Linked DNA regions of Astyanax mexicanus. The protein of the gene in region 3 interacts with the protein of the main gene of each other region in a pairwise test. Links are inferred from orthologs where the notes say so. Each region holds a gene or a part of one and is shown on either strand. Other genes may lie near its edges.

Region 1 (10,855 bases), on a different chromosome or scaffold from region 3:
GTATCAAAAGGATATCTGTTTATAGCGTCAGCTCGAGTCAGGTCAGAACTGGACAGTTTTGTTTTTTTCCCCACTCTCTTTTGAGAGCAACCACGTCCAAGCCAAACATCATGATGTCTACATGCTAGTTTATACAAACTGTCTGAACTGCCCCTACTGACCATGTTTTCTATATCTGTTTCTATCACGCCTTTTTATCATGTTTGGAAGCTGGGAAAATTTGGACTGCCTGTGAGCCCTTCAGGAGCCTGTTTTTTTTTTGTTGTTGTTTTTTTAACACCTCATTGTACTTCCTCCCCTCTTTCTTTGTGCATTTGTCAGTTCAAGTTCCATTTTTGATCCCAGGAGTATATGGCAAACATGGTAGCAAAGGAAGGAGTGACATGAAAATTTGCCACCTATCGGTCAGCCCTAAACAGCAAATCTGAAAAACTAGCATTTTGTATGTAACTCAAGTGCCAGATTTTGTAAGTATAGCATGTAGATAAGTATAGTTAATGTCTATGTAGATCACAACATTTCTAAAGATTTTTTACGTGTTCATAATGTTTACAAGATTTTGTGTTCTGTGTAAGTATGTGTGCGTGAGGGGAAAAATGTGTGAGAGAACGAGATGAAGAATAATATAATTGTAATTACACAGTAGCCAAAGTCCTCCTCAGATTCTAAATCATCCTTATCATTTATCTGTACAAGTCATAAAAATTATGTTTATCAACCAGCATGGAACTATGGATGGGCAAGAAATGGATTTGTCATCAGTTTCCAGACCAAATCATAATTTAAGCAGATTGGGTTGTGTTTTTATATTTGCTAAAATATGATTAGAATACTGTCACTGTCACGCAAAAACCTTATCTCCCCATCTCCAAAAAACAACTTTAAAAGAAAGAAAAATATTTCAGCTGCATAAAAATATTTATTTGAATAGGAATTATTACTGATGGTCTAAATTTTGTGATTACATTGTAAAGAAAAACTGCCACATTCTGTCAAAAATGGCAAAAAATAACAATACAGGGTTTTGCGTGACTGTGACAATATGGTGCGGTTTGTTGCGCTGCTCACGGTATAGCTCTTAGATTCATTTATTCTGCCATACAAAAGGGAAGGCCTGGAATATTTGGTCAGCAAAATCCGCCTCAAATGACTGACCTGTGCCTGAAGACCTGAAGCTGTGACACCATTTGTATGTTTTTTAAACTTGCTAATAAATTGCTCTTGTTCAACTTTTGGAGCTAAATTCATGCAAGACTAGTTTGCTTGTTTTATATCATACTGACTACTGCCATGTGCAGTGTTACATATCCAATGATCATTTAAACTTACCAGAAGTGTGTGATATGCACAATTTTTGCACACGTTTGAATGTAGAGCAAACCTCAACATTCTGCTCAGACGTTTAGCTGAAGTAATTAAGGCACTCCAATCCAGCTCTGTCTGTGTGTGTTACGGAGTCTGACTGTCTGGTGGAAGAAGCTTTTGCAGAGTCTGGTAGTGGATGCTTGGATGCTCTGGTATTTTTTGCCTCATTTATAAAACTCTGTGTTGATTCTGGAGTGGAAGTGTGCGCACAAAAAAATTAGTGTGTATGCATACCTGAAAGCTGTTTCCCTTTTAGAAATCAAAACCTGCTTATAAATGTGCGCAGGTAACCCAGCCTCGTGTTCCATCTCCGCACCGCCCACATTTACCCATAAAAGGTCCATGCAAATCACTAATGAATACTTAAATATGGGATTCTTCATTAATTCTGAGCGGGATAACTGAGGAACGCACAGCAAAAAAAGCTAATTTTTTGGAGATCTGTGAAATAGAAGTCTTTGTTTCGGAGGTCGAGGTTTGGTGGTTTTAGCCAACACATGTCTGCAGCAGTTAATAATGAAGTTTCACAAGCTACATCTGCGCACATTTCCCAATGACTGTAAACACCTGTAATTTAGACATTTATTGCCTGATTCAGTTAGTCTCTTTAAATCTGCGCCCAGCCTAAATTGGTTAATTAACCACTCAGCATCATTCACAAAATTCAAGTAATTCCAAAAACGCCATTATAACTGAGTGCATCACTCTTTTCTGCCTATTCATAGAGCTGTAATGTTTTGCTATTAGGTACAGCTGTTTCCTCCCTCTTTATAATGGATTATAATTTGTAGCAATAATAATAATATTAATAATAATAATAATAATACTCTTTATAAATATCACCTTTGGATTTTACATTTGTGGAAAAAACTAAACAGATAAGGTAAATGAATTTAAATAAACTGAAATACACAAGTTTGCATAAAAACATACATATAGACAAGGATGTAGGAGTGAGCTTGATATTGGGGGGACACATTTGCCAATATGAACCCAAGCCCACCCTATAGTTTCTAGAACAACATTTGTGGAAATTACTTTTAATTGAAAGTAAATTATTATTATAAGGTGATTTTACAACCTCAACATGTTACTCCACATTACAGCTACTGTTGTTAGAAAAATTATGCAAGCAATGTCTGAATTATGTACATATGACAAAAATGATTAGTTATCACCTAATATTCATAATAATAGATTTGTTTATTATTGTTTATTATTATGCTTATTCTTATTATTATGTATTGGCATGTCAATTCTGTTGTATATTTACATTTTCTCCTGTGCTTTTATTTTTTTTTCTACTGAGAGCTCTTCGTAAGATGGTGTCCTTTTATGTAAAAGAATGTAACTTTACGTTTCATAGAGATTTTTATAAACGTCAGGACATGTGGTCTTACTGTGAACTACAAATGACCAGAAGTCACGTTACAGCAGTATTTCTCAACCCTGTTCTTACATATTCTACTGAATATTAACACTGTTCTGCATATTCTACAGCTTCCTCTGCTTTAAAGGCACTTAATAAAGTTAGTGGTGGTATGATGTGTCTAATACACTGCTGGATATACATGATTAATTTAGGCTCCATAGGGGACTAAAGGATTTGAACAGGTAAACTCAGTAAATGACTGTTTATTAGCTGATCAGCTGGATCAGGTGGAAAGCACAATTTTGGGGCAGTGATCAGGGTTAAGAAACTGCTCTAAACTACAAACAAAGTACTGTACTAAATTCCAGCTATCCACTACATCTGGCTTCTAGATAACTAGTTAGCTAAATTAATTTTCGTTAATTATAGCTCACAGTAAGTCCTTTAATGCTAAATTAATAAACACAGTTTGAAAATGAAATGGTGATTAGCTGATCAGGTACAGGTCAAGTTAAACATTACATAAACAGTTGACTCCCAATCTAGCTAATTCCAAAGTTAAGCTAACCCACTAACACAGCTGCAGTTTATTAATCACAGTGGGTTTAAACTGTGTGCTGATTCAGAGACGTGTTTTTTAACCAGCTATCATATCTCCGTATATCCATCTCTGTTTTAAAATCAGCTGAAGCTGCTGATCCCGGTCCCGCTGCTAAATCTCACAGCGAGGGGGAGGGGCTTCCCCAACAGCACACTGCCTCTTCTCCGCGCGACGCAAAACCAATAGTAATAGTACAGCTGAGCTTAGCGAAAAGATATCCTTTTTGGGGGGGACAAATCCACCTGTTTCTAATATCCCTCCCGGTTCCTACGCCAATGCATACAGATCATATAAAGCAGAATAAGACACGGAACGCATTGATAGTTTATTCATGCAGACAAAAATATATTTACACAAGTAAGGGTTACTCTTCCTTTCTTTGTCTTGATGTATGCGGTATGAATGAATATGCGTGAGGATAGGTTTGCGCATTTACTTGCAGTTCCGTACTTTACCACATGATGTCACTAATTTCCTTCTCCCCGCAAACGCTGCCTTCCCGCTGTGAAGCTCCAGCTCATCCCATATCACCCTCTCAGCTAATCAGGTTTAGTTCAGGGGGGTGTGGGGGATAAACACACTACATTGAAAATGAGGTCCTCCCTCAATGTAAACCTGAGTGTAAATAAAGAATGATTATCATTATGATGAACCAGAGAATGGCCCTTTCAGACAGCCAGACAGGCCCTTCTTACTCAGCTAATCTGCATTTCACTGTGAGACTACTGATACCAACTGTCTACAGCTCTGTTCATTTATGGGTCACTTTAAAAGGGGTGAACATTTATGCAATAATTTAATTGACATTTTACATGTATTTTATTTCATTTATGTTACTCTGAAGACATCTGTTTAAAAGAGTTTTTATTTTAAGTCCTTTAAAATAACAAAATTACACTGACATGCCACATGTCATGGGACAGGAATGCCCAGCAGCCCTCAATTAGAACAGTAGAAACTTACCAAATTCTAACAGTTCTTTTTAGGTTCTTTTCTGCTCATAATTATTTAGGCCAGCCAACTGGATAAAAATAAATGCCTTACATTTGTGTCATACTATGTTACTCTGCATGCTAATGTTTACAGCTAAGTCATTTTTAAAATGACCTCACTGACTGACATGCATTAAGTAGCTGCATTAAATATTACAACGACTGACTTTAGAAAACAGAATACAGAAGTAAACCACATATTACTGATTGAATTCACCATTTCTCCTGAATAGAGCTCAACTCAAAGACTGGAGCACCTGTGGGTGTCCCCGCCCATAAACTAACTCAGATTTGTTAAATGCAACATTTTTCTACAAATTATATGTTAATAAAAAGTATCAAAAAATACATTCACTACTCTTTGGCAAAATTACAATCAGGTATCCATACATTGAAACCCCTTAAATTTTTAAATGCTAATTAGTAACACAATTTCACTGAACTGGGGCAAGGTTGATGTAATTTTTAATACGTTGCAGTTTGCACAATAAACAAATTTTACATTTTGCAACTGATTTCTGCAAATTCTGACTAATTCCTTCATGTATTGTGTATTTTTCATGAGAATATGTAAATCCTATAGTCATTTTTTTTACAATTACAACTACAATAACTCTCTTATTATTTCTATTTTTAATAACCTGTTGATTTTTTTGCCATACATCCTGGCCCAGTGTTTTTTCCTCCCAACTGCAAACTGTTCGATTTAATTTTGTACTTGTGTGTTCTAAACAGCTTTTTGATCAGACACTGTTTCCATGCAAAAACGGATTTGCAGAATGTTTTCCAAATTTTGGCACCCTTCAAATCGGAGTATGATACTAATACATTTAAAAAAAACCCAGCCATCTACATAGGGTACCATGGCAACTACGAAGCAACACCTGAGCGACCACTACTTGCAAACAAACACAATTGTTTTCTAATACATTGCTCTTAACAAACAAATATAACACGTTTTGCAAATACAAAAAGCATTAAATAAAACATGATTTTCAAACATTACCGTGTTATGATAGTTAACATTACCAGTTATGACATAGGACACTGTTACACCTGCTTTCATGCTGAAATACTTTGCATTGGTGTTTGGTTAGATATACTGTAATTCTACCTCCTTTATTTAAATGCAACAGCTAGTGTAACCTCTGCTTATATTATCAAAATTTATATCCCCACAGAACTCGTTTTTAAAAACGTTATTCAGCTCTATTCAAAAAAGGTGTGGTTATTGTAAAAGAGCTGGTTATGGGCGGGGCCAATAACAGACCGTCAGCTCCACTCCGCTCTGCAGCCTGTGACCGCGAGGCAGCCCTCAGGGGCGGGGTTATTTAAATGAGTAGGCTGTCTCTCCACAGTCTTTCTCCCTCCTCTTGTCTCTACTGCGCAGACTCGGGTATCAGGATCGGTAACATGGCGGAAGATTTTGGCTTCATTTTCATTGAATGAATGGGAACGGCGACACGGCGTCCATATTTTTTTTACAGTCTCTGAGCTATACACAGTCTATGGTGTAAATTAATGCACTGGGGAGCGCTGGACAGTAGAGCTTGCTTTGCCGTGCAGCCACTTCTTGTAAACGAGGTTGGGTGTATTTGTGAGAAAATCTCAACACGAGTTTGCGACTCTGCTAAAAGTGTGCCAAAAGTCACGTGATTTACAAATGGGCTGTGCGTGTTTGTAAAATCATGACACAGTAATGTTTGAAAATCATGTTTTATTTGTTTTATTTATTGCTTTTTGCATTTGTAAAACGTGTTATTTGTTTGTTAAGAGCAATGTATTAGAAAACAGCTGTGTATTTATTTAAAGTTTACATATATATTTACAACTATCAGGTTTTGTGTTTGTAAAACACACCCTGTGTGTTAGATAGTTAACGTACGTTTTGTATTTGTAAAACGTGTTTGTTTGCAAATAGTATCATATTTACAGAATACGTTTTCTTTATTTGCATAGTTTTGGCACTAATTTAGCTCCATAATTCTGACTGGTATTTTGTTCTATATTGTAATATTTGATTCTACTTTCCAAAACGAAAAAAATCTCCATTCACCTCAGTTCATTCAGGACTCTGCTGTACTCGGGCAGACATGGGCGGGGTCTCCATAAACCGGCGGCTCTGTTGAGGCTCCGAGTTGAGGCTCTGATCTGCGCAGTAGCCGGACGGAGAGAGTGCGTCACGGTCCCGCCTCACAGAAAGCCGCGCCGGTAAGCTAAAGCAGCTAACCCTGGTTAACTAGCTCAGTTACATTTTATTAACATTTGGAAGTACATAGGTTTTATACGGATAGTATAACTGCTCATTTTATTACCTATCGGTACACTCTTGTTAACGTGGAACTTCAGCCTGTTCGCCTTTCTTTTTTATGTAAAGCACCCTGGAAGCTAAGCTAACGTAGCTAACGTTACTTGTCTAGCTAGCACAACACAGTTCACCATTAACTTAAGCTGAACTAGCTGTTATGGTTTGCTCAGTTTAACCTAAAGAACTAACGTTTTGGTGTTGCGTAAATTAGGTTAGTTCAGGTGGAGGTTGTGTCTGGGTCTAAATGCGGGACTTGACGGCGTTAGTCAGCGAACGTTAGCTGTCTCTCCGGCCGACCGCTCCATGTTTCAGTCCGAGCCGGGAAGAGTCGGTGTTATATCGTGTTGTGCAACCCATCTGTATGTGCTACTTAGCAACTCTGCGCATGCGCGTATATAAATAATGTGTGTGTGTTTTTTAACCATATATATTGCCTTGACTCCAGTTAAAGTAATTTAGACTATCCAAATATCATACCGACACTTCTACTGCCAGCATGTTCTATTATTTTGTATTTTTACAGTTTAACGTGAACTAGGGCAGCACGGTTTGACAGGGAGCAGAACTTGACAGAACACCGGTCACAGAGCTAACAGCTTGTCGGCTAACCTGTTAGCGGATAGTGTATTGTTAGAGATAGTCTGCGTTATCTCTAACTCTCCGTTCATTCAATTGCATTTCATTTGTTAACTACCCTCCAGTTTTCTACAGATAATGAGAGAGAATAGTTATTTATTTTGTTAGCTGTTAATGAAGCAACATTAGCACATTTCATCTCCTGTTGTAGAGGGTCGGTTTCCATGGACACGCCTTTCTCAGTGCCCCGGATGTTGAGTAAAGACCCCTTACAGAATATTGGCGGATAATGCGAGCAATAAACATATTAAAATATTTATTGTATCAGTAATATAGATACTAATTAGTGATGTTCGATGTAATTGAATCGATTAAAAGGCACAAACAAATATATAAAAATCAATGTAAAAAGCTTTTATCTTATCATGTATTCGGGTCCATTTATCATGAGATTTTGACACAATTTAAAGAACAAATGCCAGATTCAAATTATGTAAAAATGAAAGACAAAAGCCCAAAATGTTCTTTCATCTACATCAACTGTTTGATCAACAAAAGCTTCGCATAAGCTTGAGTTTAATTTTGTTTTACATCATTCAGAGAGAAAGGGGAGCAAAGAAGGCCAGGAAAGAAGAAGAAAAATGGCCAGCCAGTCAATGGAGATTGTAGCGAAGGCGCTGGAACAGCAGATGCTGCACTCAGCACGGCTTGTTGAGGAGCAGCTAGATGCTGAGCTGGATAAGTTGGAGCGAATGGATGAGGATGAACTGGAATGTCTGAAGGAAAGGCGGCTGGAGGCCCTAAAGAAAGCCCAGAAACAGAAACAGGTGGGCACAATGGTTGGAGATATTGTGTTTTTATAAAGACACTGGCATGCCATGTTGATCTACTGTAAATGGTAAACCATGCTTAATACATATTTGAAGTTACTTGAAAGAACCATGTACAACACTTTAATAAACAGTTGTTGCTGTAAAACACCAAAATAAGTATAAGCTTTAAAATTTAGAATGTAAAATGTTATTAATGCTGTTCTTCTATTAGGAGTGGCTATCTAAAGGTCATGGAGAATACAAAGAAATCCCGAGCGAGAAAGACTTCTTTACTGAGGTCAAAGAAAGCAAGAGTGTGGTCTGCCATTTCTACAGGGACTCCACCTTCAGGTTAGTATGTTTATACCAGGCTTCTGTTCTTAATCTGGTCTTTTGTACTCTGTAATGTTTCTACTTAAAACAGAATCTTAAAGTGTACTTTATTTTGTGCTTGGTATAGAACATGTTTCTAAAAGGCATCAATAACACTAATTTTGATATCTCTGTGTGTATTATTTTGCACAAATTATTTTTAAGACAAAACCAAACTTGCATTGGTTTCTCTTGTTGATAAGTAGTGAGAGGTAACCTATAGGTTTAAGTAGAAGTATGCATATTAAATATACTATACATATCTTAATACACTTTTTATTCAAATTTGATAAACTTGTTTATCTCTTCATTAAAGATGCCAAATTCTAGACAAACACTTGCACATCTTGGCAAAGAAACATCTGGAGACAAAGTTCATCAAGTTGAATGTGGAAAAGGCTCCGTTTCTAACAGAGAGGCTCAGGATTAAAGTCATCCCCACGCTGGCTCTGGTGAAAGATGGGAAGACTAAGGACTATGTAGTGGGCTTCGGCGATCTTGGTAACACAGACGAGTTCTCTACTGAAATGCTGGAGTGGAGACTGGGCTGTTCAGACATCATCAACTATAGGTAGATAAACCACTTTTTTCCTTACACACGTTTTGGGGGTGTAATGTCCACCTTGTTAATTCTGTGTACCATACAGAGTTTAAAATAAAAGTCCAAAGTCCGTGTTCAGTTACCCGCCTGAGAAGGTGTCAGAATTACAAGGTATCTCCTAATACTAAGACAATATCACTGTAGTGTGATTCTGCCATACTCCATACAGGAATTATGTAGTTTCACAGAATTTATTTAAACAATATTCAGGTTTACCCTATTTATTTGATTGGTTCCACCCCCTCCCCTGAGTTATAAACATGTAGGTAGCATGTTCAGTGTATTACCCCTACACATTGAACGTGCTCTATATACCCTACAGCTGTCCAGAACACTGACTTCCCCACCAATCCTATATTCAAATTTCCCTATTAAACCTGATGAGGATCGTTTTCATTTTCTTTTCAGTTTTTCTTTTCTCATACAACATAAAATAGAAGTATGCCAAAATTTCCATGAAATGCTTTCTGTTAAAATTTCATTGAAAGGTTTATAGTAGAAACTTTTGTTTGAGATTAGGTTCTGCATCACGTTTATCACATAGATGCTTTAGTATTCTCTTTATGACTGGATACACCACCACATCTGTACTAAACTGTGTTTTCTCGTGTTCTTTCAGTGGGAATATCATGGAGCCACCTGCTATTGGACAGAAACCAGCATCAAAGTTTACCAAGGTGGAGAAAAAAACAATCAGAGGGAAAGGCTATGACTCGGACTCTGAATCTGATGATGATTAGAAAAGACAAACATCTCATTTTGTTTCTCAGGGCTTTCTACAAAAAAAGTACAAAGTCTTGTAGTACAAACTTGGGTTATCATTTTGTTTTTGTTATTTAACATTTGTTTATGATCACTTTCCTTTGATACACTAATTATGTACTATTTCGATGGAATATAGCTTTGTATACATTTAATGCATACATATACATGTATACATGCAAATGTGTAAATGTATACACTTTATGTATACAAAGATATGTGTATTCATTATTAATTGTAAGTAAATCTCAAAGGATTTAACTTGGACTGTCAAGCAATAAATTTGATCACTGTTTAAATGTAAGAAATTAATTGTTTGTCATTTTTCTCAGCAAGCAGGGGTTTGGTAACTTTTTGCAAAAAGCAATGTAGTCAGTAATTTTGGATGAAATGCTTCAAGAGGACAGCACTGATTCCAGCTTGATGGTGTAGCAGATTCAGGAAATAAAGACTTTAAATTGCTTGTGTTTTAATAAACCTGAGATCTGGTGGGGGTCCACAAAGCAAAGTCAATAAGCTGGGCTTTGTGAGACAAGCGTGGGTCATTTTGCTCAAATTCAGTTCCATTAAGGAACACTTAAGCCTCTATCAGTTACTACAGCAACATAGATGTTTGGACAAATGTGCTCCATACCAGACAGTTCAGCTTGTTCACCATGAGCCCTGTGATGTCATTATTTTATGTATTTTATTACATTTGCACATTTAGCCCATTAGAGGAATATTTTATTCTATGAAATGTTCAAATTACCTCTAATTATTTTACTCCATGTATAAGTTTCACGTATATAATTCAGTTAAAACTTTAATTTATTAAGGCAGCCATATTAAAATTGTATTATAATTAATTTATTAGACCTTTTAATACAGAAAATATTAAGCCAGGGATATTGCTAAATTGTGGATAACTGGCTTAAATGAGGCTTATTCAAATAAGAGTGCCTTTTATCTTAAGTCACATTGTACCTGTCACACATTTATGTTTGCAATATCTTATTCTTTAACATGATGTAAATCCAGGTACGTCTTTCACACATTTAGACATCAGTAGGTTTATTTTTTATCCGATTAGTGTCATGTTTAGTTCATTGTCT
Region 2 (10,594 bases), on a different chromosome or scaffold from region 3:
GTTAACTTAATTTGTTCAGCAGGAAATGCAGTTAGGTTTTACAGTGCAGGGATTCTGCAAAAAGCAACACTACAGCAATTCTTTTAAACAGCAGTCTATTCACTCTCTCACTGACAGGTTTGGGTGTGGTAATCTGCTGGATGAGGGAGACGCGGTCCTGCACAGGTTTGCTCAAGTTCACACTGCGACTTTCTTCTCGAATAGGACTCTCAATGAGCACAGTCTCTTCTACACAGAGAAAAAAAGGGATGAAGAAAAAGAGAAAGAGACAAATTACAGATATTTAACAAGCCTTTTTTGTATCATGTATCTGCATTATTTAAGTCTAGTGCAGCGCAACTGTACATTTGTAACACTCACTTGGAGTTTGGTTGGTAAGGCCTTTCTGTATAGAATCAAATGGCATCTTCACACCATCTGTGGGAAACCTTTGAAAAATATGCAGGATTGTGCAGGATTATTTCCATGTATTTAATAGCACAGTCATATTAAGGAATGTGAAGAACATTCACATGGCATTAAAGTCACATCGAGACCACAGAAAGACAGAAAAACTGAATGCTAAGTTAGTTAATTAGTTGACTATCTTAGCCCTGTACAGCTTGTACCTTAGAAAAACACTACCATGGCTAGATGCAGCTTTTTATGGCTCTAAACATGGATCTTCTGTAGCATCATTTTTTATTTAAATTAATTGAATTAAAGAGTGTTGTATTAAAGAATTATATGTATAGTTTACCTGATGTAGTCGTAGAGCTGATGCCAACTGCTGCCCTTAGGCACAGGGAAACACATCTCTCTGGGCATGGGGGCTGTGCCTTCTGGCAACATCACACCAGCCTGTCGGAACTCTGAGAACGACAGGCCTACAAAGAAAGATCGTAAGAGAGCAAGAGCAAGAGTTACAATGTTAAATTGTGTTTAAAACTACTTTATAAGAAAAGTATTTTAATTAAGAGTACCTGGGTCCAGCAGCAGGTCACTAGTCTTGAGGTTTTTCACCGTCATATTGGAACAGAGTTTGATGCTCTTCAGGTGACTGTGTGTTTTGTTTAGATAGACAGAAAGCACATACCGCAGGTCCATCATCAGACATGTCCAGCGCACAGACGCCGGTGCTGGACCCACCAAACCTGAAGCACACATCAACACCACAGCAGTGTGGACTGTTAAAGCACTGTTAAATATACAAAAACTTATATATGGGCCCAGACGTTCTATCAGTGTAACTTGGTCACGATTAAATGTAATTAAATTATTGAAGAGAAAAAATTTATAAAGTAAGATCCTTTAATTTATTAACTTAATAAAAAACATATATCAATCATGTCTCCAATTATTTTCTTTGCTACTGCAAGTGATTTTATTACGTGTGTTTATGAATTAATTTTAGCACATTTAAAAATAATAATAAACAAAGTAAGAAAAGAACAAATTTCTTCCGAAAGGTAGTGTTTACCATGTTTAGCAGATTTGGCTGTGGTTTCATAGACAGAGCCCGAAGCAGCTCCACACAGGAAGGGAAACTGCAGCCATGTTGCCGTAGACTTAAATTCCTTGAACAGGTTGGAGAACGATACACGGATCACCTGACCTTCCTGAACCAGAGTAAAAAAGAAGTTAAACAGTTAATTCACTGTTTATTCATCTACCTAAACTCACATTAGTCACGGAATATTATAGATCTGGGCGATTATGGTCTAAAAAAAAAAAAAAAAACGTTTTTTTTTTTTTTTCCAATTATAATTTCCCCCTACTAAAAATCAAACTAAAGAAAATGGTTTAAGACCCTGAAGTTTTTAGAAGTGGTAGGATTTAATTCTAGCTAAATATAGGCTTTATTCCACCGGGTGTTTGTGTCAAAAGTGCTGAAACAGTGCTGGAACGATTTACGGTAGGAGCTCAGTCCTTGGCGGAATGTTTAGAAAATATGCGCGGGTTAGTCTGTTGGAGGCGCCAATAACCAAGATAAGATGGATAAACACTTCAGAAATGAGTAGCGTTTTCGGATATTTTAGATGAAAACGATAAAATAATCATGAAAATCACCCAGCACTAGAATATTATAATGCTCTCTGACTACTCCTTTTTACATTACTCTCACCTCAGAAGCAATGTCCACGTGCACTACAAAGTGTTTACTGGGGCTGGGTCTGAACAGCAGGTAGAGGTAACGGCCTGTGAGCCCCAGTGATTGGCTGCTGGTTCTGGGCAGGAGAATATAGTTGCTGGCTGGAATGGAACCGCGAATACGGAACACCGAACACTTCAGAGTCTTGTCCTTTACAACACCAACAAAAAAACAAAAAACAAAAATTAAATTAATCAATAATCAACAATATCAATGTGTTACCCCAGCTGACCACCAATAATGACAGACGAATGTATGATGTATTCTTATTGAATGGAAGTCATGACGTTGAGGTACCAAATTTAATTTGCATCCTAATTTAACGTCTGTACAACAGCTTCATTGTAATTTTCAACTAAAATTCAACGTCTGTCTGATGTTAGATTTCAATTTCTTGCGTTAGACTGATATCCACTGCCTTCAGTTATAGGATGTTACTTCACTGAAAGACATAAACACTTGATATGACAGTAGAATTTTACCATGTAGGTTGTAACATCGCCTTCTTTGCTGGCCTTCCTCCATTCCTCCAATTTTAGGTGCTTAAAGACATTAACATAAGGATGTTGCCATGCTAGAAGGAAAAACAATGTAAACACAGAGGATAAGAAAAAAAGAGATTCAGAGGATATCAATATTCACTTGTTCAAGATTACGTAATCAGGAATAACAGTATATACAGTGTACTTCAATTAATTGTATTTTATATAGAAATTAAACAAAAAGATTATTCAAAAAGTACAGTGAGACTCTGGTCTGTATATAAACCAGGTACCTAACAGGAAATGTTGACATAATGTAAAGAACACATTTTGCATACACATTACGAACATAAATCATTACACAATGTTATTTAATTCCATCCAGCAGGTGTTTCATTAACTAGCCATAGTTACCATCCTACTGTAAACTAGTTAACCTAACTATCTAGCCAGTTATCATTGTGTAACAGTTGAGAAAAAAACTTTGACATCTATCAGTTGAAAAAGATTACCATGTCATTTCTAGGGCTTTGAGACTTCAGTGGATCACAGGGAGAGCTGTTATTCACAAATGGAGAAAACATGGAACAGTGCTAAACCTTCTCAGTAGTGTCTGACCTACACAATTACTTCAAAAGGCCATGGACAACTCATCCAGGAGGCCACAAAAGAACCCAGAACAATATCTACAGAACTGCAGGTCTCACTTGTATAAAGTATAAAGATTTGATTTCAAGTAATTTTAAGCATTTCCATTGATCTATTCATCAGGAAATGTTGACATAATGTAAATATCTGATTTCACATACACATTATGCACGTAAATATTTATACAATTTTTTTTATATTTGTTTCAGTAGCTAGCTAGTTACCATCCTACTATAAACTAGTTAGTTAACTTACCTGGCTGGGTTATCTAGGCAGTTATCATTATGTTCACTGCAAGTTAAATGATGAGGGTTCTGCTGACAGTAGCTAACTTGTATTGACAGTGCAGCATACCCAACCTAGATTAGTTATTTAGAATAAGTGCTAGCTAACTAACAGTGTGTGTAAGTCTTACCTTTTGAGGACATTGTAAACAGACCGAGATTAGCAGATTGTAAATGGGTTGATATCAGCAGGCTAAAAGCACAGACGCTAGCGCTGAGTTAGCTCTAACTTTCACAGTTAGCATATATAAATAAATATATCTATTTGTTTGTTGATGTGCTCCGTTCCAGGCCAGCGTCACATTTTAAACTAAAATCCTTCATGTCTCAGGAAGCTTCATATCCTTCGCAGAAGTTTGTTTGTGTTGTTAAAGTGGTTAAAGTGCTCTCTCTCTCTCTGCGCTCCGGCTGCTCATGTTTTGTTGTCAGACTCAGGTCTCCTCCCGCTGCAGCAGCCGCCGCTTTCAAACGGCACTACGCAGCGTACCCGCAAGGCATACTGGGTAATGTAGTTAATACACTGATGTACACTCACCATTTACATTATAGTTTCAGTGACATGTTTAACCTTCACACTGTTTTATTTTCAAGAGCTTTTTTATTTTATTTTTATTATCTATTTTTAGTACAACACTAGTACAAATGTACAGCTATTTGTGACTATATTACTGCGACATAATTACAGAAACATTGGATTGGAGGGAAGAAGGCATAGCAAAATACAAACAATAAAAAGTAAAAATTACATACAAATTCCAAAAATAGAGCACAGGTTCCATATTTTAACAGATTACTGTTTACAACCAGAAAAGGGCATCAAATAGCATTCCACATCTTTGATAAAAACAAACACAGTATATGCGTCAATATATATTGCCAAAAAATGTAACCAAAACACAGTTTGGGTGCATACTTCTTTTTTGCGGTTGTGGTTATTGTTGTTATCATCTTTCTGTATTATGTTACAAAATAGAGACATCAAAAACAACAGAAACAAAATAATAAACCCTCTTTATTCCCACTCCCCTTTCTAGCACATACAGTCCAAACCCATAAACACACCCACATACACCTGCGTATAAATGTGTACATACACATAATATTGAATGAATAAATAAAAGTGTGCAAACATTTTTGAATGCAAAAGCTTCTTCCTGCTGAATTTTGATGATCAAATTAGTTTACTATATAATTTTAAGAAAACATAAAATATATTTAAATAAAATAAAAATAAAACAATATTACGAAGCATGGGCATTTTAACATTTAAGTAGTCTATAGTTAGTGAAACATTTGATTAATAGCTTAAAAATATCAAAAAGTTCCCTTTCCTCACAGGCAGAAACTTCCCTTGATTTGGTAGTTAAAGTGTGAGTAACTTAAAAAAACAAATGTATATATATATATATATATATATATATATATATATATATATATATATATATATATATATATATATATTGACAGATTATATTTTTCATTGTTAAATCGTGTTTTTACCATTGCATCCCATGAAATCTCCGTAATCCGTTCTACTAAAATGAGAATTTCTGCTTTGCGGTAAATGATTTCCAGTCAGTTTGTCCTCTTGCGCTTGCCGTAGCTCACTGTCGCTGCCATAGAGACGGCCTGGGCCGCAGACGCTGGGTATGTGTGTTTATTATCAGATATAAATTTGCTTTTTAAACATTACTTACAGGATTAACTACTAAAAAAAGAGCTAAATATATATCCTATGTTGGCTGTGTTTTGATACAATGAGTAAATACGAGCAGAAGTCTAATGCTGCTAATATCTGCACTTACGAGCAAACTGTGGCCCAGGTAATCTGATAACCGTTAGTGAAGCTAACAGGTAACCAACCTAACCTTACCTAATCGAACCTAGCTAGCTAAGCTAACGTTTTAATTCAGTTTAGACTCTGAGTATTAAGAAATATATACACTAAAGACAATGACTGTGAGAGTTGGGTTAAGTTACTAGAGAGTAAGGGTTAGCTAGTTAGCAAATAACAGACCAAGTTTCAGTAAGGTTATCGCTGTTTTATAGCTGTAGCCCACATCTAGCTATTAACGTTACATCTAGGCTGGATAGCTTGGGGACACTAGTAGTTAACACGCCTAAGCTTGCTGCCTCTTCACAGTGCCACACTAAATATCCTTTATGAATAATGAGAACAGTAACCTAGGTTATTTAATATCATAAATGTTCCCCCTAGGCCTGTCACCATATTAAAATTGTGCTTAATTATATTTATTAATATATTTATCGTATGCTGGAAAAAGACCACAACGGGCCGACTAAGTTACTTTAAAATTATATAACGTTAGTTGATTTAAGCATTTTTTGATGATGATGATTATTATTATTATTATTATTTAGTCATTTTCAAGTTTCAATTGATCTATTGTTCTATTTAAACTGCTTATTTAAAAAGAGGGTTTAAAGCTGTGAACAGTCTGTGGACCAGTTAGACAAATACATGTAAAAAAAAAAAAAGAAAAAAAAAGTAAAATCAAAATGTGTAGTGTGTAGTCAGGGTGTGTAGTCTAGTCTCTCTGTAAGTTATAAATATGTATATGGGCATTGGCACATATATAGATTTCGGACGTTTACATTGACCCAGAGTTCCAATTCAAAAAATATGAAATTGAGATGTTAGAAAGGGATTTATTTCTTAAAGGAAATGTATATAGTTTATTGTGTATGAAACCTAAATCTCAGAAATAAAAAGGTGTACCATTACAGGTGTACTATTTAGATAATTAAGTATTTTGTTTTTATTTATTTACGTTTTGGAATATACTAAAAAAATATAGCTAATGTATTTTCTTTTAGAACAACAAAGTAGTGGTTATTCTGTGTAATTTGCTCTAATGTATATAAGTTGGCTGTAAGAAACATTTTTAAGTGCAAAATCATTTTCTATGTGAGCTGGTATTTCAGATGTACTAGGATTAGGATGGATTAGTTGTAGACTATATATTCCTTTTGATGTAAAATCTACAAAATCAAAATTTTATGTAGTCCTAGATTAGGTATAAATCCTGTTTGGGAAACTGCCCTTTTTACACTTCATTTTATTCCAAGACTGGATATACTTTCTTAGTGGCTCAAATTGTTACTAAATTTGTTGTTGTCTTTTTCCATAGGGGACTGAGGAAAGCCTTCAATTATTGGTAGAGAGATATTTGGAAAAGGAGAAAAGGCAACCATGTCTTTCAGAGATCTAAGAAGTAAGCATGATCAAATATATCAAATTATTGCTATAAAAACCAACAAAGTAAAAACCTGTTTAAAATGAAAATTAAAAATGGCATTCAACAGGCACAATGCAAAATGAGTGGCACATAGCAAACCTTGTGTCAAAATGTCCTCAATTGCTGAGTGACCTTCTCCCCCCAAAATATTTAAATCTTTGCTACAGGTCCAAAAATAGTGAACAAATGTGCCCCTCTGTGTCTGGCAAGTGAAACATAGATCTGATCTCTCTGTATCTATCCTGTGTAGTCATACTGGTAATAAGTAGATTCTGTGCATGAACTTCATTTTAGGTTGCACAGGCTTAAAATTAAGTTCATGCAAATAAATTGAAGTACACTGGGGATAAAGGTTTACACAAGCAGAATCCCATAAGTTTTGCTCCGATTCCATTTCCAAATCTTTCTGTCAAATACCCTTCAAGTTTAGCAAAGAAGACAGAGATTCGTTTGACAACATAATGTATTCCCTGTCAGATTCATTCACAACCCCCATTATATAGTAGAGATGTAAGGAAATGTCTAATTTAAAGATATCTGGAAAAACTATACCTCTTTAGAATATTCCAAAAATGCAACAAGACCCCAGAAAACAGAACAGAAATCTGTGTGATTCCTTGACTAAACCAGTTAAGGAATCCTGTCTCATGCAACTGAGAGGGACATTTTGGATTAAGTGCAAATGGGGAAGACCAAAAGAAACGGTTAGGTATTTCCAAATCAGCAGAGTGTTGGATATACCAAAAGAATCATAGACCCTTTTCAACTTTTCACATTATGAATAAATGGTAAAAGAGGGAGTGAATGTTATGGACTTCATTTTAACCTGTAATGAGTCAGTCCTATTGGTACACTTGCTTATAATGTGTTAAACCTGAGTTGACCAATAATATAATCGCATGTTTGGTAGCAAGAAAAAGACAAGAAAAAATATTAATTCTCGAAATATTTATCCTGCCAAGCAAACATAATAGGAGAGAGAGCACCAGATACCCAGATCAAGGGGGGATAGTTTTTAGGTGTTTACAGCAATTACCAAATAGTTAAATTCAAAGCCTTTTCCTAAAATTGTATCTATCTATCTAAAATATTGGCATCTGAGCATGTGCAAATGTGTAGTCTGTGTGAGTGTATTTTCTTATCGTTAAACCCAGTTTTTTGGTAAACCTAAAGAAAGTCATGTGCATTCTATTGATGATTTCTTGGATCTGATGAACTAATAAAGCTTTATGTATGCATTGTTGTGAGCACTTGTTTGCTAGTTTGTGTGTTATTGTTTGTTGCTGCAGGTTTTACAGAAATGATGCGTGCCTTGGGATACCCTAGACTCATCTCCATGGAGAACTTCAGGGCTCCCAATTTTCCCTTAGTGGCAGAGATACTCATCTGGCTTGTTAAGAGGTTGCACATTAATCTCTTTGGTTGTGTGTATGTGTTTGTAAGAGTGTATGTGTTAGCAACTTAAGTTAAAGGAGAACTCCGGTCTGAAATGGACTTTTGATATTGTAAAAAAATATAAAGGGTACTAACCTTTGTTGAATAGCCCAACTCCGTTCTCCCGCAGCTTTTCGAGATCCAGCAATTTTGTGCAGTTTGTCCAAACCGACTGGAATGGGTTTTAATGGGCCATATTTTGCCCCTGCAGATAAATCGCTTTTTACACCTTTGTCCAGGCTCAAAGTAGCTCCACACCTCATTGATAGAATCCGGAGAGCCCTGACATTTAAAATTAGTCATTAAGAACTTTAAAAAGTGCACAAGAAGTTTATTAAAACCACTGTTTACAACTTGTAGCTTAACCTACATCTCCAGGCGCCGCCATCTTAAAGTAAAGTCATGATCAGTAGAGTGACGAGCACGTAATGTTGACAGAAGTACATGCTGTATACATGAGAAAGACGTGGCCAGGATGTGTGCTGTGCTCAGACTGCAGCTTCAGCCAGCATAACAGAGGAAAAGGCGAAGGGAAAAGAAGACAGAATGGTTCAGGTTTGTGCCTTTCCAGGTTTCAACATTACGTGCTCGTCACTCTACTGATCATGACTTTGCTTTAAGATCGCTCCATCCGGAGATGTTGGTTATGCTACGGGTTGTAAACCATGTTTTTTATAAATTTCTTGTGCACTTTTAAAGTTCTTTATGCCTCGTTTGATCAGGTCAGGGCTCTCCGGATTCTTTCACTGAGGTGTGGAGCTACTTTGAGCCTGGATAACAGTGTAAAAAGCGATTTATCTGCAGGGGCAAAATATGCCTCGTTAAAACCTAGCCTGTTTGGACAAACTGCACTGCTAGATGCAGATTGCTACAAAATTGCTAGATCTCGGAAAGCTGCAGGAGAACAGATGTGAGCTATTTAACAAAGGTTAGTACTCTTTAGCATGTTTTACTACACTCAAAGTCAATTTCACACTGGAGTTCTCCTTTAACAGCACTTGCGAGTGTGTAAGTGTGTGTTAACGAGTGACAAGTTACTGAGCAAAATGTTTTGTTCATTTGTATGGCCATAGCTGATTGAATTTGTTCAGTACTACTACATTATCTTGATTAGGGGAGTTTAAAGTCCCTCAAACAAGTAAGAGGACATAACATACAAGCATCTTTCAGCCTGATAGAAAATAAGTTTGAAAGAATGTCTGTAAAGAGATATATATTAAAGGGTTTTTAACTTTATACTGTATTATACTGCTTTTTGTAATTGTTAGTCTAAAATGTAAACAATATTTAAACATTATATTTACGCCATTGGAAAAACACATTTGATTTATATTAAGTATATTAACCATTTTGTAAAAGAAATGTGAAGAACCATAAAATTGGTATATAACCATAATTTACATTTACAACTTCAATACGCCTTTAAAAGTTTTTTCAAACGAACACTACTTTGTTGTCGCACTTATGTACTGTGACCATAACAGCAGTCTACAGTGTCTCAGCATTTCAGAATGTGTATGTTGGTAAATACTGATAAATTCTCAATTCCCCCATAGGTACGAGCCACAGATGGATATCCCAAGTGATGTAGACACAGAGTCAGACAGAGTTTTCTTTATCAAAGCTGTGGCTCAGTTCATGGTAATATTCTACATTCAGACTTTTCACCAGTAAACTGTGATTGATAACCCCTGTTCAGATCTTCTTTCTCTTCTGTTCAATCAACATTCCAAATGTTATATTGCATTACAGTTGTGGTTGATTGTGTTGCTGTATGTGTGTTGTACCAGGCCACGAAGGCACACATTAAACTGAACCTCAAGCGCTTGTATCAGGCTGATGGTTACGCAGTGAAGGAGATGCTGAAGATCACCAGCGTCCTCTATAACGCCATGAAGACCAAGCAGAATGCAGATGACGACCAAAACCTTGACGAAGGCAGCAGCAAGTTCAAATTTGATCTAGGATCAAAGGTAGGTGAGAATAGAGGCCCAGAATAAGTGAAAGTGGTTGGTTGAATAGGTTTTATCCTAATATTCAAAGTGTAAATTCTAAAAAAATACATGGCATGGATGGACCTTACATGTGGTGGCTAAAAGTGTTAGCAGATACTCAAAATGACTGCCCCACCACTCAGCTCAAAATGTTACACACACGTATACACAAATGAACAGTTTAGGCAGTGAAAAAAAAATGATCTCTTATGCATATAAAAGATGCTAAGACACTTGTTTTATAGATATCTGAAAAGTGTTTTGTCCTTCTGCTGTATGATTACCTGTTTAGTGAAGCAGAATCATTATTTTTTTTTTTTCTGTTTCTTTATGATGTACTTGCGACTTTTGAATTGCATCT
Region 3 (11,622 bases):
CGCTAAGTTTTATTGTTCTCTCATTCAATGTTACTTGAGCCTGCTCGACTAGTTAATCGAGGTGTTAATAAATGTGAATTTACCTTTCCACCTTAAATGAGGCAGGTCTAAACCAGTAGTTTCAAGACATGCTGTAGTTTTAGAGAAGCTAAGCTAATTTTAGCGGCAAGTTTTATGTTTTCTCCCACTCAGTGTTACCAGAGCCTTCTAGACTAGTTTTAACAAGTTAGCATTTTCTATTCCACCTTAAATACTGCCGGTCTGGCACAGCATTTTTAAAACATGGTGTAGTTTTACAGAAGTTAGTTAGTTAGTGCCAAGTTTTATGTGTTCTCTCACTCACTCTCAGAGCCTTCTAAAATGAGTCAGCATTTTCCTGAGTTTTCCATTCTACCTTAAATGTGGCCCTTCTAGACCAGCAGTTTTAAAACATGCTCCAGATTTACAGACACTAAGCTAACGTTAGCGACAAGTTTTGTTTCCTCTCAGTCAATATTACCAGAAACTTCTAGACTAGTTAAACGAGTTAGCATTTTCCTGAGATTTCCATTCCACGTTAAATAAGGCAGGTCTAAACCAGTAGTTGTAAGACATGCTGTAATTTTAAAGAGGCTAAGCTAACGTTAGCAGAAAGTTTTATGTTTTCTCTCAGTCTATGTTACCAGAGCATTCTAGACTAGTTAAATATGTAAGCCTTTTCCTTAGTTTTCCATTCCACCTTAAATGTGGCCTGTTTAGACCAGCAGTTTTAAAACATGCAGATTTACAGATGCCAAGCTAACATTAGCGACAAGTTTTGTTGTTTCTCTCACGTTATTTTATTAGAGCCTGCTTGACTAGCAATTTGAGGAGTCGGTAAATGCGAGTTTTCCTTTCCACCTTAAATGAGGCAGGTTTAGACATGCTGTAGTTTTAGAGTAGCTAACAAGTTGTATTGTTTCTCGGAACCAATGTTAATAGAGCTTGTTAGAGTAGTTAAACGAATTAGCATTTTCCTTTGTTTTCCTTTCCACCTTCAATGAGACATTTAAGGTACATTAAGGTACTGTCTTGGTTTAATTCTTTATGAAAACAATAATGTGTTTAATAATAGTTGTACAATTACAACTTTAGTTCTCAAAAAATCTCTTTCATGTCTGAACAAAACCTGTAATTGTAATGGAAATATTTCCAAACGAATCAATAATAAAACGATTCAAATTAAATCAGAAATTGAATCGAATTGGGGCCTTGTGAATCTGAATCGATTTTGTAAATCACTGATGATACCCAGCCCTACAATTTAGTTATAAATTACCACTGTATGTGGTACTAGAGGCTTCATGTAGAGAGTGGGGTCAGCAGATGCTGAGGGGCATATTACACGGAAGTAAAAAAAAAAAAAAAAAAAAAAGGTCAATCACCAAACACATTACAGGCAAGCGAATACTTTTGGCAGTATAGTATGTATGTAAATGTTGCTCCGCCTCTAGTCTGGATACAAGATTAAACACAGTTGGATCTTTTACCAAGAGGTATACTACCTAAAAGTAATTTCTGAGACTCGGACTGCACTTGTAATCATTTACATACCTGCTTGAAACATAACAAAACTGCTAGCCAACTTTTGCTGCAATACATGCATTATTTTTGCTCCTTTGCCTTAGTCAACAATAAATGTTCAACTCTGTCCCGGACTGTCTGTGCTGAGCATTTGGTAGAGTTAATAAACTTTGCTATAATTAGGAGAATCTGGTGACATGCTGATTCCTCTACAGGCAAAATTGGGATGAATTGGAAGGAAATGAGCACATAGACAATACCCAAATAGAGCACAGTCGATGCCCGGCGTCTGCCCGGTGCTCGGACGTTCGCCTGGACTGTACGTCACACTGGCCGACCATGAGTGGCAAGAAAGGAAGATGCAAATTTCCTGGATGCAAAGGCATACCCAGAGTTCTGTGCATGAAATGTAATGTACACCTTTGTTTCACCAGGCAGAGCAACTGCTTTGTGAAGTTTCATATGCCGCTTAACTGAATGTAGAACTGGATTTGGTAATCTTTTGAATGCAATCGCATCTTCTGTCTTTACTCTGTTTTTGCTGTTAGCAGTAGAGTCACAGTTTGTATTTAGTGTTGACTCTGTAATGTAAAACAGGGGTGGTTGTTGTGACTTGAAGATTTTGGCACTTTTGTATTTCTGTTGTGTATTGAATTTAAATTCAGATTATGTTAAATTTTGTGTAGAATGAATATTGTACTCAGTTTAGAGAGTTGTCTGCTTCGTCTCCTCACTTTGGATGCCAGGTAAAGGACACTAAACCTACACAATTGAGCACTAGCCAGCAGTAGTCAGGTCCGACCCTACCGGATCCTGTGCATGTTAAGTCCGAGCCCAGAGATTGTTAAATCTGACATTTTTAACTAAAATTCTGAGTTGTCTAAATGAGTGGAATCTGTATAGAATGATTTTAATGAACAGTGCAACACAGAAGAAGCATAGGTCTATTGATTAACAAAACTGTTACGCACAGCACTGCAGTGTTGTGTAAAGACCAGTTAATACAGTCTGCGAATTTGTTGAATTTGCAAATTTTGTTGAATTTGTTGAATTTGCGAATTTCACTGAAAGCAGCTGATGGATGCATGGATGGATGGTGACGTTACTAGTTCCTATTCTATGGAATGTCAGGATAAAGTGTCCTTCAGCGACTTTTACATTGCATTGTTGCATGTTGTGATTTTGTCTTTAATTCTGCATTTACTGATTAAATAAAGTATCAATAATATTTTCCCTGATTTCAGTAGCTTTGTGGAACATTGTTGCCCTGGGGGTTAGGGTAACACTCTTATTCTTTTTTTGTTGTTGTAGTAGTAATAGTCAGCTATATAAAATTAGTAAATATTATTTAAATGGTGAGTCACTCTCAGCACTGCAGTAAAACACCTCAGTTTTACTGCTGACTGAGAATAGTCCAAGAACAGCAAGCTTTGGGCATTGTCCTGTGGACAGTGTCCTGTGACTACTGATGAAGGTCCTAATCATTGAAGAACAGGGTGAAAGGAGGAGGATAAAGTATGCGGAGAAACAGATATATGTAGATAGACTACAGTCTGCAGTTATAAAACTACAAAGTGTCCTGTATGCTAAGTCGAGCTGAAAAAATACAGGGGTTGGACAATGAAACTGAAACACCTGGTTTTAGACCACAATAATTGATTGTCCCTACAGACAGTTCTGGTGGAAACAGGAGAGTTGAGGTGCACATTAAATTCTGCCGTGATTTGATCAGCCGTGGATTATTATTTTTTTGGATACAATCCGGGTTAGCACCCAAACATCCCTTTCAGACAGCTTCCTCTTACAGCGTCCACAGTTAATCCTGTTGGATGTGGTTGGTCCTTCTTGGTGGTATGCTGACATTACCCTGGATACCGTGGCTCTTGATACATCACAAAGACATGCTGTCTTGGTCACAGATGCGCCAGCAAGACGTGCACCAACAATTAGTCCTCTTTTGAACTCTGGTATGTCACCCATAATGATGTGTGTATTGCAATATTTTGAGCAGAACTGTGCTCTTACCCTGCTAATTGAACATTCACACTCTGCTCTTACTGGTGCAATGTGCAGTTAATGAAGATTGGCCACCAAGCTGCTCCAATTTAGCCATGAAACCTCCCACTCCCACACCTGACGGTTCTCAGGTGTTTCAGTTTTATTGTCCAACCCCTGTTGAGAGTGTAGATTATGGAAACTAGGAAGTGATCAAAGTGGGACCGCTTTGTACTTTCCAAGCAATGTACTAGCTGCAGCTCTGCATTTTGAATTAAACCCTACCTTAATATAAAGTTAAATGCGCTGTGGAGTGTAAACTTATTGCATACAGCACGGTTCTGATTGTGTCATCAAACATCATCGGTATCAGCTGAGGAGGCAGCTGTGAGGTCCGCCCCCTGCCGCGTACAGACAACACATGTAAGATACCACTCTTGTTTTGTTTTGTTAATTATTTAATGCTTTCTGTTAATGTGAATATAGTAAAGTATGGATAGTAGAGTAGTCACTCCAGCAAAAGCAATATACAGTATACTCTTTAATACCCTTGATTTCAGAAGAAACAATGAATAATAAGTAGCTGTCCCAATACTTTTGTCCATAAAATATGATCTTTACACATTTACTCGGGTGTCACGGGTTAGACAGGAAAAATAAAAACCTGGTCTGAGTAGTGGAAAAAAAACAGCAGCTTAGTGAAAAGAGCAGGAGTCACCAGATACAAGTCTAGAGAGCCTTTTTAAAGTCCAATTCACGGGTGCTGTGAGTGTCTATTAAAATCTTAGATTAAAATCCTAAAATATATAAATATAAATGACACAGAAATGCAGTAACTTGCATTTAAACCTTTTTTCTAGGAATCCAGAGCTCTAGGAACAAGTTATATAGAAGATCATAACTAATTCTAAGGAATTTAACCGTTTAATTAAAGCATTTGATGTGCTTAATGTTTTAAAACAGACCTGAAGAAGCATAAAATACATTTTACACACAAATTAGCTAATGTAGTTTTATCTCCAGCACTAAACCAGCACTCCTACATTCTGTAAATAAGCTCACATGAAGAATCACAGATGCTCTAAGGATGTTCAGTACATTTCACTTAGGAACTCCATGAGTTGAGATGGCGGACAGTGTGCTGTAGGCAACTTTACATACCTTTTAAAGAGTCTGTGACGCACGTCACCATGGGCAAATTTGGGCATTTCAGTCACTTCAGCCTGGTAATTTTCTGTCCCAGAGCAGAAAGCTATTTACCAACCAATGCTGAAAACAAAACACACATATAAAGGATAATTAAGAAATATACAGACAAAAAAAACACTTGTAGCTCAAATTTCCATTCCAGACACACACAAAGCACTTGTGCCTGATTATGCATGTGTGAAATGGGCTTTAGTTCACCACAGTTTCGCTATTTTCCTGCTCTAAGTCATTAATTCACCTAATTCAATTAATTAATTTATGAATTAATACATTTAGTGAAAATATATCGCCAAGCTGTGAGTACACAGGCTCGCCAGATCAGAATTGATCAGCCTGATTATTTTAACAATGTTTGCAGGTAGAAATGCTGTTTATAATAAGCAAAATAATTTATGTAATTTAATACATTATTGTCAACTATATATAATTAATTTATTTTCTGTTTGTTTTACAGTTAGTTTGAGGGGAAAATCTTTCAGGGCCTCCAGTTAATCAGCTCTGTCTTCTGGGACTGATTGCTTGGTTCAGAAGCCCACCCTTAAAAAGACGGCTGAAATGAGGTAATCATATGCAGTAATATATCACTTTTTAATTCAGTGTATCTTATGACTATATGGATTATGGTATCTGCAAAATAGAAACTGCGGTAGTTACTAGATAGACTATATTGCCAAACATATAACTCTGCCTATGGGTCACTCTCAAGAGCTCACTGAATTTCAGCATGGTGCTGTGATATTCCAATCGTAAAATTTCTTCACTATCAAATATTTCACAGTCACCTGTCAGTGATGTAAATTCCATGTAAATGACAGAGCAGGGTCAGTGGTTGCACAGGTCACCAACATTTTGCACTCTCTCTCAATCACTACAGACCTTTGAACTGGCCTTTAAATTAGCTCAAGAACAGTACAGCGTAGAGAGCTTTATTTAAAAAAATCCATGGCCAAGCTGCTGCATCCAAGCCTTACATCACCAAACAAGATGCAGTGCAAAGCATTGGACACTGATGTAAAGCATGCCGACACTGGTCTCTGAAGTGACAAATCACACTCCGTCTGACGAGTCTGGGTTTGGTGGTTGCCAGGGGAACAGTACTTGTCTAAATTGTCTGCATTGTGCTAAGTGTAAAGTTTGGTTGGGGGGGGGATTATGGTATAGCGTTATTTGTCAGTATTTAGGCTCGGCACCTTAGTTCAATAGAAAGGAACTCCTAATTGCTTCAAAAGACCAAGAGATAAGTGCAGACAGTTTGGTGTTGGCCCATTCCTGTTCCAGTCCTGCACTTAACCGGATAAAACACCTTTGGAATGAGTTAATGCGAAGACTGAGTGGCTGACCTTCTCGTCCAACATCAGTATCTGCTTCACAAAACCGCTTCTGAAAGAATGGTCTATAATTCTCATAAACACACTCCAAAACCTTGTGAAAAGCCTTTTCAGAAAAGTTTAAGCTGTTACAGCTGCAAAGGGTGGGCCAACATTATGTTAAACCCTAAAGATTATTAAAGTTTGTGTGTGTTCTAAGTGAATATTTTTGGCAATATAGTTTAGTTATCCTAGCAAAGATGATAATTAAACAAATATGGCATGGGTAGGTCTATAGTTTTGTAAACTTTAATTCTTTATTAATTTATGGAAATGCTAGGAAACAGCTCGTCATGTTATTTTACTCATTGTGTGACCATCTTTTTTGTTGTCCTACATAAATGTATTTAAATATTTATAACCTCATTGTCATATTTCATTTTATAAAAATGATTCCAGAAATGTCCTCCATGTTTGTCGGTTTTGCTACCAGAGTCTGCCCAGTAGAGACCAGAGGCGGAGCCAGACCCGCCTACTCATTTGGTAGGCCCGCCCCTTTGTCCCAGACCCAACTGTCATAAACAATGGAGATGAAAAGACAGTTTAGAGGAAAAAATGTGATGGAAAATGGGAGGGGCTGTTGCCACTGAAACATTTAGAGATGGGCGGAGCTACATATCATACGGCAACCAGTTTTTTGGGAAATATTGTGCTCTCCATGCTTATTGTATGTACATTTCTGTATGCTGACAGCAGCTATCTAGTTGCATATGTGGGTGATGTTACACATACCTGTCTATTTGTCTACCATGTTTTGTTTGCATTCAATTTTGTAGCGTAAAAATGCAATAAACTTGGTTTTGTTGAACCATATCTCATCATTAGTCCTCTGTTCAAAAATGTGCTACAACTTCAGCCATTCACTGTAAACTGGTTAAGATATTTTTTTACTGAATTATACATTTAAATCCCTGAGATTGGTAGTTTAAGGGTTGCCAAATATGCCTTTCTTCTTGGGATGCAGCAAAATATATATATTTTTTTAATTACATAAAAGGTGGTGCATTGTTTTACTGTGCAGCGACTCCTGGGCTAGTATAATATAAGTGTCAATACTAAGAGTGGCAGTTAAAGGGTTACAGTTTTACCGGAACTGCTCTCGTCAAATTTTAATAAATGTGTGTTAATGCAACAGATTTTAATGAGTTTTACCAAATGTTGATTTTAGATCGCATATGAAACGTGCTCGCGGAATAAACAAACTTCCGAGACTTGGACGAGAACGGAAACTGGAGATGAGGACTGATAATCCGAGAGCACTGAGAAAAAAGGACGCAAGTCCGGACGTGGTGGTGGTCCTGGACGAAGACGAAAGCCTGCCAACACGTAAGTAAAATAATGCTGTAATCATATCAGTATCAGCAGATACAGGCATGTTATGTTTAGGAAACCCTGGCTAAGTTGCATGTTTTGTTCATTTTTTTGTGTAAAAATATGTTACACAAAAAGGTTCTCGGAGTAAAGCCAAAGAAGATTTTTTGTAATAAAACTTTGTTATTGGCTCTTTTAAAACAAAATGTATACTACACACTTAAGCTAAAAGGTAAAAATGCTATGAAGTGTTGGTTTGGCAGGCCAATTACCCAACCTACTCACTAGTCCTATCACTAGTACAGCTTCCAACACTAGTAGGGTGAAGACTAGCACATGCTTCCTTTAATACATGTGAAATCAGCCACCGCCTCCTTTCCAACTGCCATTGATGTAGCAATATTGGGTACCCAGCATGCATGAGGAAAGCACAGCAACCCAGCTCCATTACATCAGCTAACAGACATCACCTTGGTGGAGATGAGGGGAGAGAACATTTTTGTGCTCTCTCAGACTCTGGCTGCTGATGGCAAGCAGCATGACCTGGGTTCAAACCACTATCAAACCAATCATAGCACCATATTGAAATTTGAATATTTCCAAATATATTAATATTTTTTGAACATGACTAATAAATACAAGTGACATCAGACAAATGCAAGTGACAAAGAGAGAAAAAAAATATGGGCATGTGTTTAAAAAATGTGACAAGTTTCTAACAATTGGATATATTCAGGAAGAATGCTTGTTTTTACATTTACATTTATGTTTTTCTTTTGGCTAAGTGTGAAAGAAAAAGTGTCCGTTTTATTGCCACTGTGCTGAAGTTGTTTTCCTTTCTGTGATGTAGAATTCCTGCCGGGCTCGGGGAACATGAGCAAGGAGATGAAGCAGTTCGACCCGGAATCGCTGGAAATGTACGGAAGTCAAGCGAAAGCCCTGGGCCTATCGGACGGTAATCTGTGCGTGGTGTGTGGGCGGACCTTCACTTCACGAGCTCTGCTGAAGATTCACCTGAGGGTTCACTCAGGAGAGAAACCGTATAACTGCCATTTCTGCGATAAGAACTTCCGACAATCCAGCCACCTCAGCGTTCATCTCCGGATTCATACCGGAGAAAAGCCCTACAGCTGCCCCACCTGCGGGAAGCGCTACAGCGACCGGAGCGCGTGTAACAGACACGTTAAAGCTCATCTGATGGAGCAGACTGAGCAGATTGAGTAGCGGGAGGCATGTTGGAGATGTTTAGTTTTTATCTTCCTCTATTGTAGAATTTTAGATATAGTTACACTACATTCTTAATATTAAATTCAAGAGATCTTAATGCTTTGCCTTAGGAGAGCCACTTTTTAAGGCCAATTTATGACTCTCCGTCAACCCTACGCTGCCCCCTAACATGTACCTCCCCAGAAACATCTTCGCATCACAGCAACACAGACTTCATCAACTGTGTTCGGTTTGCTGAGTATCGTATTTAAACTTCCATATCTCCACCTTTTTTTTGATGACCACTGTTTTGCCAGTGTAAGTGCAGAGCGATTTAGGTTTCCAAACCTAAAGGTCCAGACCAAAGTCTAAACCAAGGTTAATTTGCTCTTTTCGCAATTAGTTTTGGTTTCACACTGTGTCTAGTGGCTGAACCCAACAAAAAACACCTTGACATGTCTTGTTGTCATCCCCTACATGGGCAAAGAACCTGAGTCTCCCTATACATGACATTGATTGGTTTGTAGAAGGAAAATAAATGTCACACAGCAGCATTTTTTTTGTCAATTTGGCCAGTTGTCTTTGCAGATGTTCTGCCAAATTTTGCTTCTTTGCCACAATCCGACAGCTCAGATTTTTCTTTTTGGTCAAAACCCAAATAGAAGCTGTGAAAGGTTCTATAAACCATGTTCTGGAGATTCAAAGAGGCGAATCAATTGATTGATGGTCCAGTTTGTTGGCAGTGAGACAGTGAGGCTATTGTCACCCATTAAATAATAGAATAATTTGAGTACAACAGATGATGCTGGTGATTTCTGTATCTACTGTAACTAGATTATTAACCCTACTACAGGATGTGCCAGCACTCAAAGTGAGGCAGAACACAACACCTGGAAAAAAAAGAACCGAACTTACTACATTCTTCAAAACGATCAGTGTTTGGTAAGACCAAATTTGGGTGGTTCTTGGCACCTGCTCTTTCACACCTGCTCTGTTGGTTCGGCCCAAACAAGGTAGGTGTGAAAGTGGCCTTAAACCACTAAATACCCTTTGAAAGGTTTTTCTTTAGAACCGTGGTTTTCAGAGCAAAGTTGGGTCCATGATATGTAGCTAGAGGTTCTGCATTTTCTTTTTTTCTTTTCTTTTTTGGAACCCATATCAAGTTTGGTTGAATAAGAACCAAAAGAAACAACTTGTTCCAGGCAGTTTTTTATTACTGTATCCCAGGTTTCAGGATGTTTCACTTGCGTTACTAGATGGTTACTATTGTATCTCAGGTGGTTTCTAGGGTTTATCACTTAATGAAAAATCTATGTAATAAAAACGAGTTCCTGACTGTAAAAGGTATGAGAAGCTTTGCTTTAGAAAGTAGTTTTTGTAAATGGAATGCATGAAGAATTATTATTTATTATTAATTATTGAAGGTTAAGCGAAAAGGTAAAGGTTAAAAAAGTCCAGAGGCCCAAAGGTTTCAGAAAAACCCTTCAAAATGGTACATTTAATGTATTTTACGTTATGTTAATATGTTTTTAATCCTGGTTCTTCTGTGCCACCTATCAAAAGAACCCTTTGCGCCAGCTCTTAATTTATATATATTTTTTACTTTGTTTTAAAGAGTGTGCTTATAATTCTGTATCATCAATTGTATTCTGTTTTGTATTCTGTTACTGATTTCTTCTATTTCTTTCAATGACATGAAGTATTCTTGAGTTTGATGGGTACTTTGTTGGTAATTTGAATTTAAATGTAAAGCTAATTTAAGCAAAATAGCTGTAGGAACTTTTAGAACTTTGAACCTTTTAAACTTTGGAAAAAAAAAACTTGAATATGCAAACATGACTAGCTAGTGAGCTCTTAATGTAGCTTTTATTTATTTACGGTAACATTGACCAAACCTTAGGGCTGGACAGTAATTCAGTATCAATATAGATTGTTATATAATCTGTTTTAATATTAATTCATTTTACTGAATTTTATTACATTTTATTTTTTTTTTTTTTTAACTTTTCTGATATTTATACATACTGTTACATATTATTTATAGCATCATTCACTGACCGACCTTCATTATAGGGCATCCGTTATGGCCGGTATTTTTATTTTTTCCAGTTTACCTGTGGCTTTCATACTGTTCAAATTAATATCAGACTGAAATTATAAAAAATATATTGTGATATAAATGTTGGCCATATCGCCCAAACCCTGCATTAAATCTTTCGATTCTGTATTTTAGAGGTTTAACAAAACCCTAAAACTATTATAACTATTAAATAGATATAAACATTTTTTTACAAGATGCACCAATCAGCCATAACGTTAAAAGGTTTAAGGTTTGAGTGAAACTGATCTAATATGAAGGATTTAAATATTTCTTCATCTTCTAGCTGATCAGTGTGTAAATTGCGACTCATTGCAACATAAAGTTTGGGTTTCAAGTGGTTTACATCACACCTTATTAATTATTGAGAGTTTAATCTTCTGTTACAAAGAAAAAATCTGATTAGTGGCTGACTGAGGTGAATGCTATGAGTTTTCCCATTATCTGATTTAAAAAAAGTACATATAAATGCGATGATCAGACTGTTGTTCTGATCAACTTCGGATGTTCTTCAGTAATCGAATTATGATGTGCATGTAAGTGCATGGCTGAAAAGTGTAAAAAAAAATATTTGCGAAACTCTCAGTGCTTTTCAGTTCAAATTAGTTTTTGATAGTTATTTATTGTTTATATTTTTTGTTCTTTGCCACGTTTGTTCATTTTCCCCTCCGCAAGACATTTGTGTGACCAACGAACTGTGTAAGGGGTGCAGAAATGATTAAATATTATAACACTAATAAAGGTTAGTTACATAGGAAAACTATTTTATTTATTTATTTGTAGCATTGTGTGAAGCTTTTCTTAATATTTGATTGATTTTTGTCCTGTGCGTTTCATTCAGTTTGCTTTAAATTGAGTTGTTACTATATGTTATTGTACACTGTGACTTCTCTT

Evidence for each region.
Region 1: the proteins of myog (region 3) and txndc9 interact in binary tests that used the Homo sapiens proteins (3 or more experiments, as listed by UniProt). The two-hybrid records come from large-scale screens. The link is inferred for Astyanax mexicanus from reciprocal best matches to the Homo sapiens genes MYOG and TXNDC9.
Region 2: the proteins of myog (region 3) and cluap1 interact in binary tests that used the Homo sapiens proteins (3 or more experiments, as listed by UniProt). The two-hybrid records come from large-scale screens. The link is inferred for Astyanax mexicanus from reciprocal best matches to the Homo sapiens genes MYOG and CLUAP1.

What each region holds. Positions count from the first base shown.
Region 1 is NC_064418.1:24,877,323-24,888,177, reverse strand, and holds txndc9 (thioredoxin domain-containing protein 9), read left to right. Parts: upstream 1-6,421; 5' UTR 6,422-6,541; intron 6,542-7,814; 5' UTR 7,815-7,855; coding exon 7,856-8,041; intron 8,042-8,258; coding exon 8,259-8,377; intron 8,378-8,714; coding exon 8,715-8,969; intron 8,970-9,618; coding exon 9,619-9,739; 3' UTR 9,740-10,069; downstream 10,070-10,855. UniProt on the Homo sapiens protein: Significantly diminishes the chaperonin TCP1 complex ATPase activity, thus negatively impacts protein folding, including that of actin or tubulin.
Region 2 is NC_064413.1:14,769,464-14,780,057, reverse strand, and holds the start of cluap1 (clusterin-associated protein 1 homolog), read left to right. Parts: upstream 1-5,111; 5' UTR 5,112-5,192; intron 5,193-5,250; exon of another isoform or gene 5,251-5,399; intron 5,400-6,697; 5' UTR 6,698-6,759; coding exon 6,760-6,781; intron 6,782-8,094; coding exon 8,095-8,206; intron 8,207-9,795; coding exon 9,796-9,880; intron 9,881-10,029; coding exon 10,030-10,212; intron 10,213-10,594. Other genes in the region: wdr90 (WD repeat-containing protein 90), read right to left, coding at 116-228, 361-428, 740-866, 963-1,133, 1,460-1,598, 2,105-2,281, 2,614-2,705, 3,677-3,689. UniProt on the Homo sapiens protein: Required for cilia biogenesis. Appears to function within the multiple intraflagellar transport complex B (IFT-B). Key regulator of hedgehog signaling.
Region 3 is NC_064431.1:20,021,296-20,032,917, reverse strand, and holds the start of myog (myogenin), read right to left. Parts: upstream 4,807-11,622; 5' UTR 4,699-4,806; intron 3,961-4,698; exon of another isoform or gene 2,035-3,960; intron 1-2,034. Other genes in the region: zinc finger protein 205-like, read left to right, coding at 5,302-5,306, 7,282-7,439, 8,275-8,648. UniProt on the Homo sapiens protein: Acts as a transcriptional activator that promotes transcription of muscle-specific target genes and plays a role in muscle differentiation, cell cycle exit and muscle atrophy.